2 linked regions of the Oryctolagus cuniculus genome follow. The protein of the gene in region 1 interacts with the protein of each later gene in a pairwise test. Links are inferred from orthologs where the notes say so. Each region holds a gene or a part of one and is shown on either strand. Other genes may lie near its edges.

The links.
Region 2: the proteins of TNNI3 (region 1) and TNNC2 interact in binary tests that used the Homo sapiens proteins (3 or more experiments, as listed by UniProt). The two-hybrid records come from large-scale screens. The link is inferred for Oryctolagus cuniculus from reciprocal best matches to the Homo sapiens genes TNNI3 and TNNC2.

What each region holds. Positions count from the first base shown.
Region 1 is NC_091449.1:3,701,008-3,705,246, reverse strand, and holds the start of TNNI3 (troponin I, cardiac muscle), read right to left. Parts: upstream 2,920-4,239; 5' UTR 2,822-2,919; coding exon 2,780-2,821; intron 2,402-2,779; coding exon 2,315-2,401; intron 1,833-2,314; coding exon 1,791-1,832; intron 1,531-1,790; coding exon 1,399-1,530; intron 1,108-1,398; coding exon 1,018-1,107; intron 656-1,017; coding exon 479-655; intron 1-478. UniProt on the Homo sapiens protein: Troponin I is the inhibitory subunit of troponin, the thin filament regulatory complex which confers calcium-sensitivity to striated muscle actomyosin ATPase activity.
Region 2 is NC_091442.1:13,567,160-13,571,609, reverse strand, and holds TNNC2 (troponin C, skeletal muscle), read right to left. Parts: upstream 2,919-4,450; 5' UTR 2,864-2,918; coding exon 2,861-2,863; intron 1,578-2,860; coding exon 1,526-1,577; intron 1,368-1,525; coding exon 1,224-1,367; intron 1,138-1,223; coding exon 1,023-1,137; intron 871-1,022; coding exon 734-870; intron 579-733; coding exon 547-578; 3' UTR 443-546; downstream 1-442. UniProt on the Homo sapiens protein: Troponin is the central regulatory protein of striated muscle contraction. Tn consists of three components: Tn-I which is the inhibitor of actomyosin ATPase, Tn-T which contains the binding site for tropomyosin and Tn-C.

The DNA.
Region 1 (4,239 bases):
TCATGCACTTCCTGTCTGTCCCCTCATGCACTTCCTGCGTGTCTCCCCCATCACTTCCTGTCTCCTCATCACTTCCTGTCTGTCATGCACTTCCTGTCCCCCTCATGCACTTCCTGTCTGTGTCCCCTCATGCACTTCCTGTGTGTCTCCCCCATCACTTCCTGTCTCCTCATCACTTCCTGTCTGTCATGCACTTCCTGTCCCCCTTCCTTTGTCTCCTCCCAGCATCCTTCTCTCTCCCTCATGCACTTCCTGTCCTCCCTACCTACTCTTGCCAATGCACTTCCTGTCCTCCTTCCTACTTCCTGTCTTTCTCTTGCACTTCCTGCGGCCCTCCCATACTTCCTGCTGAGGACCCCTCACCAGCTGCCTGTCCCCTCAGCTCCAGGAAGCATCTGCCCAGGGGCCAGACCCTGGGGCTGCTGCCGCAGCGGCCCCTCACCTCGGTACCCCTTCCCTGGCCCTGGCCCGCGCTCACCTTCTCCGTGTCCTCCTTCTTCACCTGCTTCAGGTGGGCCCGCAGGTCCAAGGTCTCCTTAGCCCGGGTCCCCAGCAGCGCCTGCATCATGGCGTCTGCAGAGATCCGCACCCTCCGCAGGGTGGGTCGCTTAAACTTGCCCCGCAGGTCAAAGATCTTCTGGGTCAGGTCTGCAATCTGGGGGCGGCCACACTGGAAGTGGGGACCCCTCCCTCCTGCGGCGCCCCCTTCCAGCATCTCGGCCTCACCCAGCCTCTCCCCAGCTCCAGCTCCCAGACCAAGCTTCCAACCCTGGGAAACTGAACCCCTCTCCTGCAACCCAGCCTCGTTCGCAAGACCACCTGCTCAGCTCCACCTGAGCTCACTTCCTTATGCCCCACCCCCCACTCACATCCCTCCCCAGCTTCGCATATGCCGATCCTGCCTGGAACGGCCTTCCCTGCCCGTATCCCGCTGCCACCCTGCCAGGCTCATGGACTTGTCCCCGTCCCCTGGGGTCTGCGACTGAGGGCTGAGACCACAGCCCCAGGCGCCCGCACCTCGGTGATGTTCTTGGTAACCTTTGCCTCTACGTCGTATCTCTCTTCGTCCACCTTGTCCACGCGGGCGTGGAGCTGTCTGCACAAGTCCTGGCGGAGGAATTCCGAGTGTGTTGTGGGGGGCAGGCCAGAGGACCCTTGAAATCCTGGTCTGAGGGAGGAGGGGCCGGAAGTGGCCTTGAAGGGGGCGACGCTGGAGCTGCGGCTCCAGGGACAGGCACGCAGAGGTTGTATGGGAGCCGGAGACTGACGGGCTTGGGCTGCGGGGAGCCGGCCCTGGGCTTTGTGGCTGTGCGTGGTTGCAGGCCAGATTCTGCTTCCCTGAGGGGACAGGCTACGACACTGGACCCCCGGTCCTGAACGGAAGGTGGGCGCGGGTACCTGCAGCTCGGCGAAGCCCAGCCCCGCCAGCTCCAAGGGCTGGCACCGGGTGCTCAGAGCGCGCCCCTTCTCTCCGCGTCGCTCCTCCGCCTCCCGCTCCAGCTCCTGCTTGGCGATCTGCAGCATCAGGGTCTGCAGACGTGGGCGGGGCGGCGTCTCGGGATAAAGACAGCGCCCTGGCACTCTGCAGCATCAGGGTCTGCAGGGGTGGGCGGGCGGCAGCCCACCCCGGGGTCTCAGGATGAGCGGGTACCCCTTTAACCCTAGGCCCCGCCCTCTCCGCAAGGACACGTCCAAGGCCCCGCCCCACCTACCCAAGCCCAGCCCTAATTTATGCAAGCCCCGCCCCCTGGTTAGCCTGCCCCCCACCCCCACCCCCGGTCGACCCTCACCTTCAGCTGCAGTTTCCTTGAGGCCGAGATCTTAGACTTTTTCTGCCGGAGTGACACGGTTGGATGGAGGACTGAGACCCTCCGAGGGGCGTCACCATCCCTTCAGGCCCGTCCAGATGTGCGCCCGCCTCCAACTTGAAGCCCGCGTCCAGAGGAAGCCACGCCCCTCGTCCCCGCCCACCAATCTGGGCTCAGACTCTGGCTAGGCACCGCCTACCCACCTCCTAAGCAACGTCATGGGCAACGGAGCTCCGCCTACAGGCTGCTCCCACCAATCCGAGCCCGGCTCCTCCCAAGCCCCGCCCACCAGCTCCTCGGCCCCGCCCACGACCATGTTCCCTCTTATCCTAGGCCCTGGCTCCGCCCACAGGCCGTTCCCACCAATCCGAGCCCGGCTTCTCCCAAGCCCCGCCCACCACCTCCTCGGCCCCACCCACGACCACATCTTCCTCATCCTAGGCCTTGGCTCTGCCCTTCCCTCCGTGGTCCCTCCTGGGTCCCGCGAGGCCCCGCAGCCCGCCCACCTTGGCGTGCGGCTCCGTGGCGTAGGCGCGGTAGTTGGCGGAGGAGCGGCGTCGCACCGGGGCTGGCGCGGGGCGCGCTTCCCCTGCCTGGCGTGGAGGGGCCCATCATCACCAAGACCCTGGCCCTGCCCCCTGCCCACCCGCCCACCTAGAGCCTGGGGGTCCCCACTCAGAGTCTCAGGGGTCCCCGCCCAGCCTCGGGGTCTCCACCCAGCCTCTACCCGGGGCGCTCACCGCATCCCGGCTCCTGCAGGGGAAGAACAGAGGCGGGATCAGGGTGGGGCCTGTGCCGCTCCAGCTCCTGGGGGACCCCAGAGGCCTCCCTGGCCCGGAGGTCACGTCCCAGGAGGGATCCCCACACTCTCACACTTCCCAGCCCGGGGTCCCACCCCTGACTCCGTCCCAGGTCCCGGGTTCCCCCTGGAGAGCCCAGGCACACGCCCCCACCCCCCACGCCCTCGAGACCTCGGGGGTCCGGTGGCCCAGCCTCACGCACTCGTCTGCCATGCTGACTCAGGAGTGGGCGTCCGGGTGACCTTGGAGCCCCCTGGCCGTAGGGGCTCCTCCGGGCTGCACAGGGCTCACCAAGGACACTGAGCTGAAGGGCGAGGGCCGACTAAATATACCTCCCCGCCCCTCCTCCGCTGGGGCAGATAACGGGGCGCGTGAGCGCACACGAGGGGCAGGCGGGCCGTGTGCAGCAGGGCCAGCGCCACCCAGGGACAGAAACTGGACCCCTCTGCTCGGCCCCCCAGACCTCCATCTCACCCAGGCCCCAACCCTCCTCCCTCAGACTCACAGAGCCCAGGCCCAGCCCTCCTCCCTCAGACTCACAAAGAGCCCAGGCCCCAGCCCTCCTCCCTCAGACTCACAGATCCCAGGCCCCAGACCCCCTCCCTCAGACTCACAGAGCCCAGGCCCCAGCCCTCCTCCCTCAGACTCACAGAGCCCAGGCCCCAGATCCTCCTCCCTCAGACTCACAGAGCCCAGGCCCCAGACCCTCCTCCCTCAGACTCACAGAGCCCAGGCCCCAGCCCTCCTCCCTCAGACTCACAGAGCCCAGGCCCCAGACCCTCCTCCCTCAGACTCACAGAGCCCAGGCCCCAGCCCCCCTCCCTCAGACTCACAGAGCCCAGGCCCATCCCTCCTCCCTCAGACTCACAGAGCCCAGGCCCAGCCCTCCTCCCTCAGACTCAAGAGAGCCCAGTCCCATCCCTCCTCCCTCAGACTCACAAAGAGCCCAGGCCCCAGCCCTCCTCCCTCAGACTCACAGAGCCCAGGCCCATCCCTCCTCCCTCAGACTCACAGAGCCCAGGCCCCAGCCCTCCTCCCTCAGACTCACAGAGCCCAGGCCCCAGATCCTCCTCCCTCAGACTCACAGAGCCCAGGCCCCAGACCCTCCTCCCTCAGACTCACAGAGCCCAGGCCCCAACCCGCCTCCCTCAGACTCACAGAGCCCAGGCCCATCTCTCCTCCCTCAGACTCACAGAGCCCAGGCCCCAGACCCTCCTCCCTCAGACTCACAGAGCCCAGGCCCCAACCCGCCTCCCTCAGACTCACAGAGCCCAGGCCCATCTCTCCTCCCTCAGACTCACAAAGAGCCCAGGCCCCAGCCCTCCTCCCTCGGACTCACAGAGCCCAGGCCCCAGCCCTCCTCCCTCGGACTCACAGAGCCCAGGCCCCAGCCCCTCCTCCCTCTGACCCCTAACCCAGCCCCATCCCAGACCCCGACCCCAGGACACAGGGACACAGGACGCGGCGTGCCAAGTACTGGACTCTTTATTCTCATCATGTGGGTGCCAGCGGGCCCGCCCGAGCCCGCCCCACCCCTGCGAGGAGGTGGCCGGCGCCAGCTGGGGGCTCCGAGGTGGAACCTGCAATCCCAGAGAACATTCCAGAACGCCAGGGGCGCACATGAGAATCCC
Region 2 (4,450 bases), on another chromosome or scaffold:
GGAGGAGTGAGGGAGCCCAGAGCGAGGCATCTGGATTGGATTCTGGAGGCCCCGAGGGGTCCTGCAGGACGTTCAGCGGGGGCGCGGCCCGGTCAGGTTCCCGGGAGCTGGTTCTCGCGGTCGGCGGTCGGCCCGTGGCGGGGGCCCCCCGGGGAGGAGCTGCTGCCCCCTCTCCGCTGCCAGCGCCGGGTGCCCCGCAAGCGCTGGAAGAACGGACCAGACCGAGCGGGCTCGCAGAAAACGCTGCCGTCGCCCCGCTCCCGGCCCGGGAGCCGGCCCACGACGGCGAGCCTGACACCCACGCTCAGAGGCTCGGGAACGCATGGGCGATGGGGCAGGCAGGGGGCTCCACCCCCTCTCCCTCGGCCCGAAGCCCCCCGTGGCCCCCGCCGCATCCCGCTCCCCGCAGCCCCGGCCCGCCCCTCACTCAGGCCATGAGCTTGGCAACGTTTGCTTTTATTCCTTCCAGACACGGAGCCAGAAGGGGCCGCGCCCCCTGCGCGGGGCAGGGAACGAGCCGGCGGGGCCGAGGCTGAGACCCCAGCCTTACTGCACGCCCTCCATCATCTTCAGGAACTCTGCAGGAAAGCAAGGGCGAGGCTCAGCGCCAGCACTGCCCACCCGCCCGCCCGCGGGGGCTGGGGGCGGCTCCGCTCGGTCCACGCCCAGCCCCACCCGCGGGGCCGAGGCCTGCCACGCCCCCGACGCCGGCCCGCGACTGCCGGGCGCTCACCGTCGAAGTCAATGCGGCCGTCGTTGTTCTTGTCCCCGTCCTTCATCAGGGATTCGATCTCCTCGTCCGTCACGTGCTCCCCAGAGGCCCTGAAAATCTCAGCCAGCTCCTCGGCGTCGATGTAGCCGTCTGCGTTCCTTCGGGGCCGAGGGCCGGGACAGGGCTCAGCAGCTGCCCGGGCGTCGCTGCACGCGCCCCTCGCGCACCCGCACCCCCCAGGCATTCCCGTGCTGTGCCCGTGGGAGAGCCCCCCCGCCCCGCGCGCCCCGCGCTCCCCCACCCCGCGCACCTGTCGAAGATGCGGAAGCACTCGGCCAGCTCCTCCTCGCTCTTGCCCTTGGCGTCCTCTTTCATCTGGCGCACCATCATGACCAAGAACTCCTCGAAGTCGATGGTGCCGCTGCCTGCGGGCGCAGGGCAGGCACTGAGCGCCGCCCCGGGCCCACCTCGCGCCCCCGCGGCCCTGACCTGGGCGGGGCTGCCCGCTCACCATCCTCATCCACCTCCTCGATGATGGCGTCCAGCTCCTCTTTGGTGGGTGTCTGGCCCAGCATCCTCATGACTGTGCCCAACTCCTTGACGCTGATGTCACCACCGCCATCAGCATCAAACATGTCGAAGGCGGCCTTGAACTCTGCAGGGGGGTGGAGGGGAGAGCTGAGGTGAGGTGGGCTGGCCTGCCAGGCTCACACCCACCCCCACTGCTGCCCAGACCCCACACATGTGCCCTGGCACATGTCACCCTCCCACACGCCCCCTTGCACACACACCCTCACCCCACCCTGCACTCACCAGCGATCATCTCCTCGCTGAGGTAGGACCGGGCCTCAGCCTGCTGGTCCGTCTGCAGGAGACACAGGGTCAGAGCACAGGAGGACCACCCTGCTCACCCAGTCCCACCTCGACCCCGCCCTGTGTAGCGCCCTCCTCCGTCAGGAAACCTGTCCCACCTGTGTGTCCCCACGGCACCTGACAAGAGCGGAGACCCAGATTAGGTCAGAGGTCCTCATTCGGCAATACTTGTAGGGCCAAGTCAGGCACAACCCAGCCCCCCAACACACACCCTGCCCCCTGGGGACTTTGGGGAAGCCGCAGGTCACGCCCTGGTCTCCTCTCAGTGGCTTTTCGGGGCTGAGATGAAATCGGAGGCGGGAAAGGGGCTTTGCAAGGTACCTGCACCGCTCCAGGGTGCAGTAATGACGCAACCCAGAGTACTGAGCACTAGCTAAGTGTCAGGCCACAGCCCAGACACGGGGACCCCCGGCTGACAGGGGCACATGCGTGGAGGTGCCAAGCAGGCATTGGAGTGCACGGCCCTCAGGCTAGGCGGAGGGTGGCGTGAAAATGAGCCGTCCACGACCCATCCGGGCCAGGCCATCCGGGTTGGGGGCTCTAGTCTGGGGCTGGCAGTGAGGCAGGGGTGAGATGGACAAGCAGTTCTGGGCCCTGGCCCTGGGCCTCCTGTTTCTCCCCCTCTTTCTTGCCCTCCTCTCCGCCTGTGCCAGGAGGGCAGGCTATTTTTAGCAGGGCATGGGCAGCAGCAGCTGGCCTCTGGGGTCCAGTTACTCCTTGAAGTGATCTCTGGAGGGGGAACCTCAGTCCCAAATCAAAACCCCTCCCGGGGAGGTGGGGGTCCCTCCGACTGCTGTCTCCTGCCCCTTCCGTCATCCTCAGGGCTCTTGGAGTTGGCGTGGGGCCCTGTGGGCCTCCCATCTTCCTAGGAGCTGGCTTTCTTCTCTCACTGACAGCAGGAGGGTTTGGCCAGGCTTCCAGCCCATCCCCCACCCCCCACCACTGGCTCCCTGGGGAACTCACTGCAGCCCCTGGGGGTCTGTCACCACCATAAAGGAGATGGGATAAGACCTCCCGGAGCTCTGTGCCTAGCACTGCTGGAAGCCTCCGCAGTGGGCAGCACAGTGGCCGCAGGACCAATCCCTGGGACATCCAGCCCTCCCCAACCAAGAGAAGTCAAAGGACTTCCCAGGCTTCCTCTGAACACCTGTGTTCCACAACCTTCTCGCCCCCCATCAAGCATCTAAGTTCCCACCCCACAGAACACCCAGATCTGCTTGAAAGAGGTCTAGAAGTGCCCCCAGCCAGCAGAGCAGAGTCCCTTCATGTCCTTACCATGGTTGCTGGTCACTGGGCCACCCCTGCCGTGAGCCGCCTCCCCTGAACTCCACCACGCACAGACGCAGTGGCCCACTCCAGCCCCCGGGATTTGTAGGGGCATCCTGTCCTCCCACCCCCCTGCTCCCCAGGAATGGATACCCTGCCCAATCAGATCCTGGGGTCAGCAAGCCCCACCCCTCCCAGAGTCCTAGCCCATTACCTAATTTAGCCAAGGGCCCTTGCAGAGAAATTTAAGCCCCTGAGCAGGTGGCAAGCCTTGACGTCCCAGATTCTTGGGAGGAGGCCCCACCCTGCTCCGCCGCCTTAGAGCCCCACCCCCCACCCCAGGAAGCACACTGGCTCCAAGATGGAGGAGGAGGATCGGAACAGTGACAAGTGACGCAGCATGGTAGAACGGGAACAGCACAAGCCTTGAAGTCCCAAGGTCCAGGTCCCTGCCTCGGCAAGGTGTGTGACCTTGGGCGGGTAAAGCAGCCGCTCTGAGCCCAGTATCCTCATTGGTGACATGGCAGTCAGACCATGGCAGAAGGATGCTCAGGTCTCTAAGTCATCTAGCTTGTGCCAGACCCACAGGGTGGGTGCTTGGCAAGTACAATGTCCTGTCTCCGAACTACAGTGAGGGGCAGGGCTCAGGAGGGGAAAGCGGTACTTAGGCACCACTGGTTGAACCTCCAGGATGGGCCACACTGGGCCAGACATTTCAACCACAGGATCTCGCCTGGTGTGCGTCCTATGAGGTAGCAGCTATTATTATCCCCATTTCACTGGGGCTAATTTTTGTGAATCATAAAAGCCGTAGTCCTGTTGATGATTCCTGTTAATCCCGACTTGGGGGAGCCCACCCAGGAGAACCGTCCAGAGGAATAGAGGAGCCCTCGGAGGAGGAGGAGGCATCCAAAGCAGAGTGCTCTCTCAGAGTCCCCGCCCCAGGAAAAGGGTGTCTGTGATCCGCTGACTTGGGCAGTGGGTTAGGCAGAAGGCAAAGGGGCAGTGAAGTCTGGTCCCCGGCAGGTGAAGTCCAAGGCAAGCCCACCCACTCTGAGAGGCCAGAGCCTAGGCTGGGTGCTGGGGAGCAGACAAGGCTCACGGTCATATGGCCATGTGACCAGAAATCACCAGAAAGCACTAGGACAACCGAGGGCGGTGTGGGAGCCAGGCAATGGGGGCTGGACACCAAGGAGGGCAGATGGACAGTGGCAACTGGGCCGCCCCTCCCCCTACACATAGACATTCCCAAGGAAAGCTCAGCAGCGCCAGGCCGGGCTAAATAAGGCTTCCCCCAGCCAGGCAGAGGGCCGAGGGGTGATAGCCAGGGGATCCCAGTCGGGACACACGGGAAGCACTTGGTCCTCTTAGAACAGAGAGTCGAACAGCAATCACTTGTTCATAATTTGTTCCTCCATTTCTTCAGGGAAATAGACAAAGTGCAGACTCCTTAGCGTGGAAGCTCCTATCCGCCCCTCTAATCACAACTCGTCCCCCCTCCCCACCCTTAAGTGCTCAAACACTGCCCCAAACACCATCCTTGATAAACCAGCAGCCCTGGCCATGCTGGTTTTTTTTGTTTTTGTTTTTGTTTTTCCT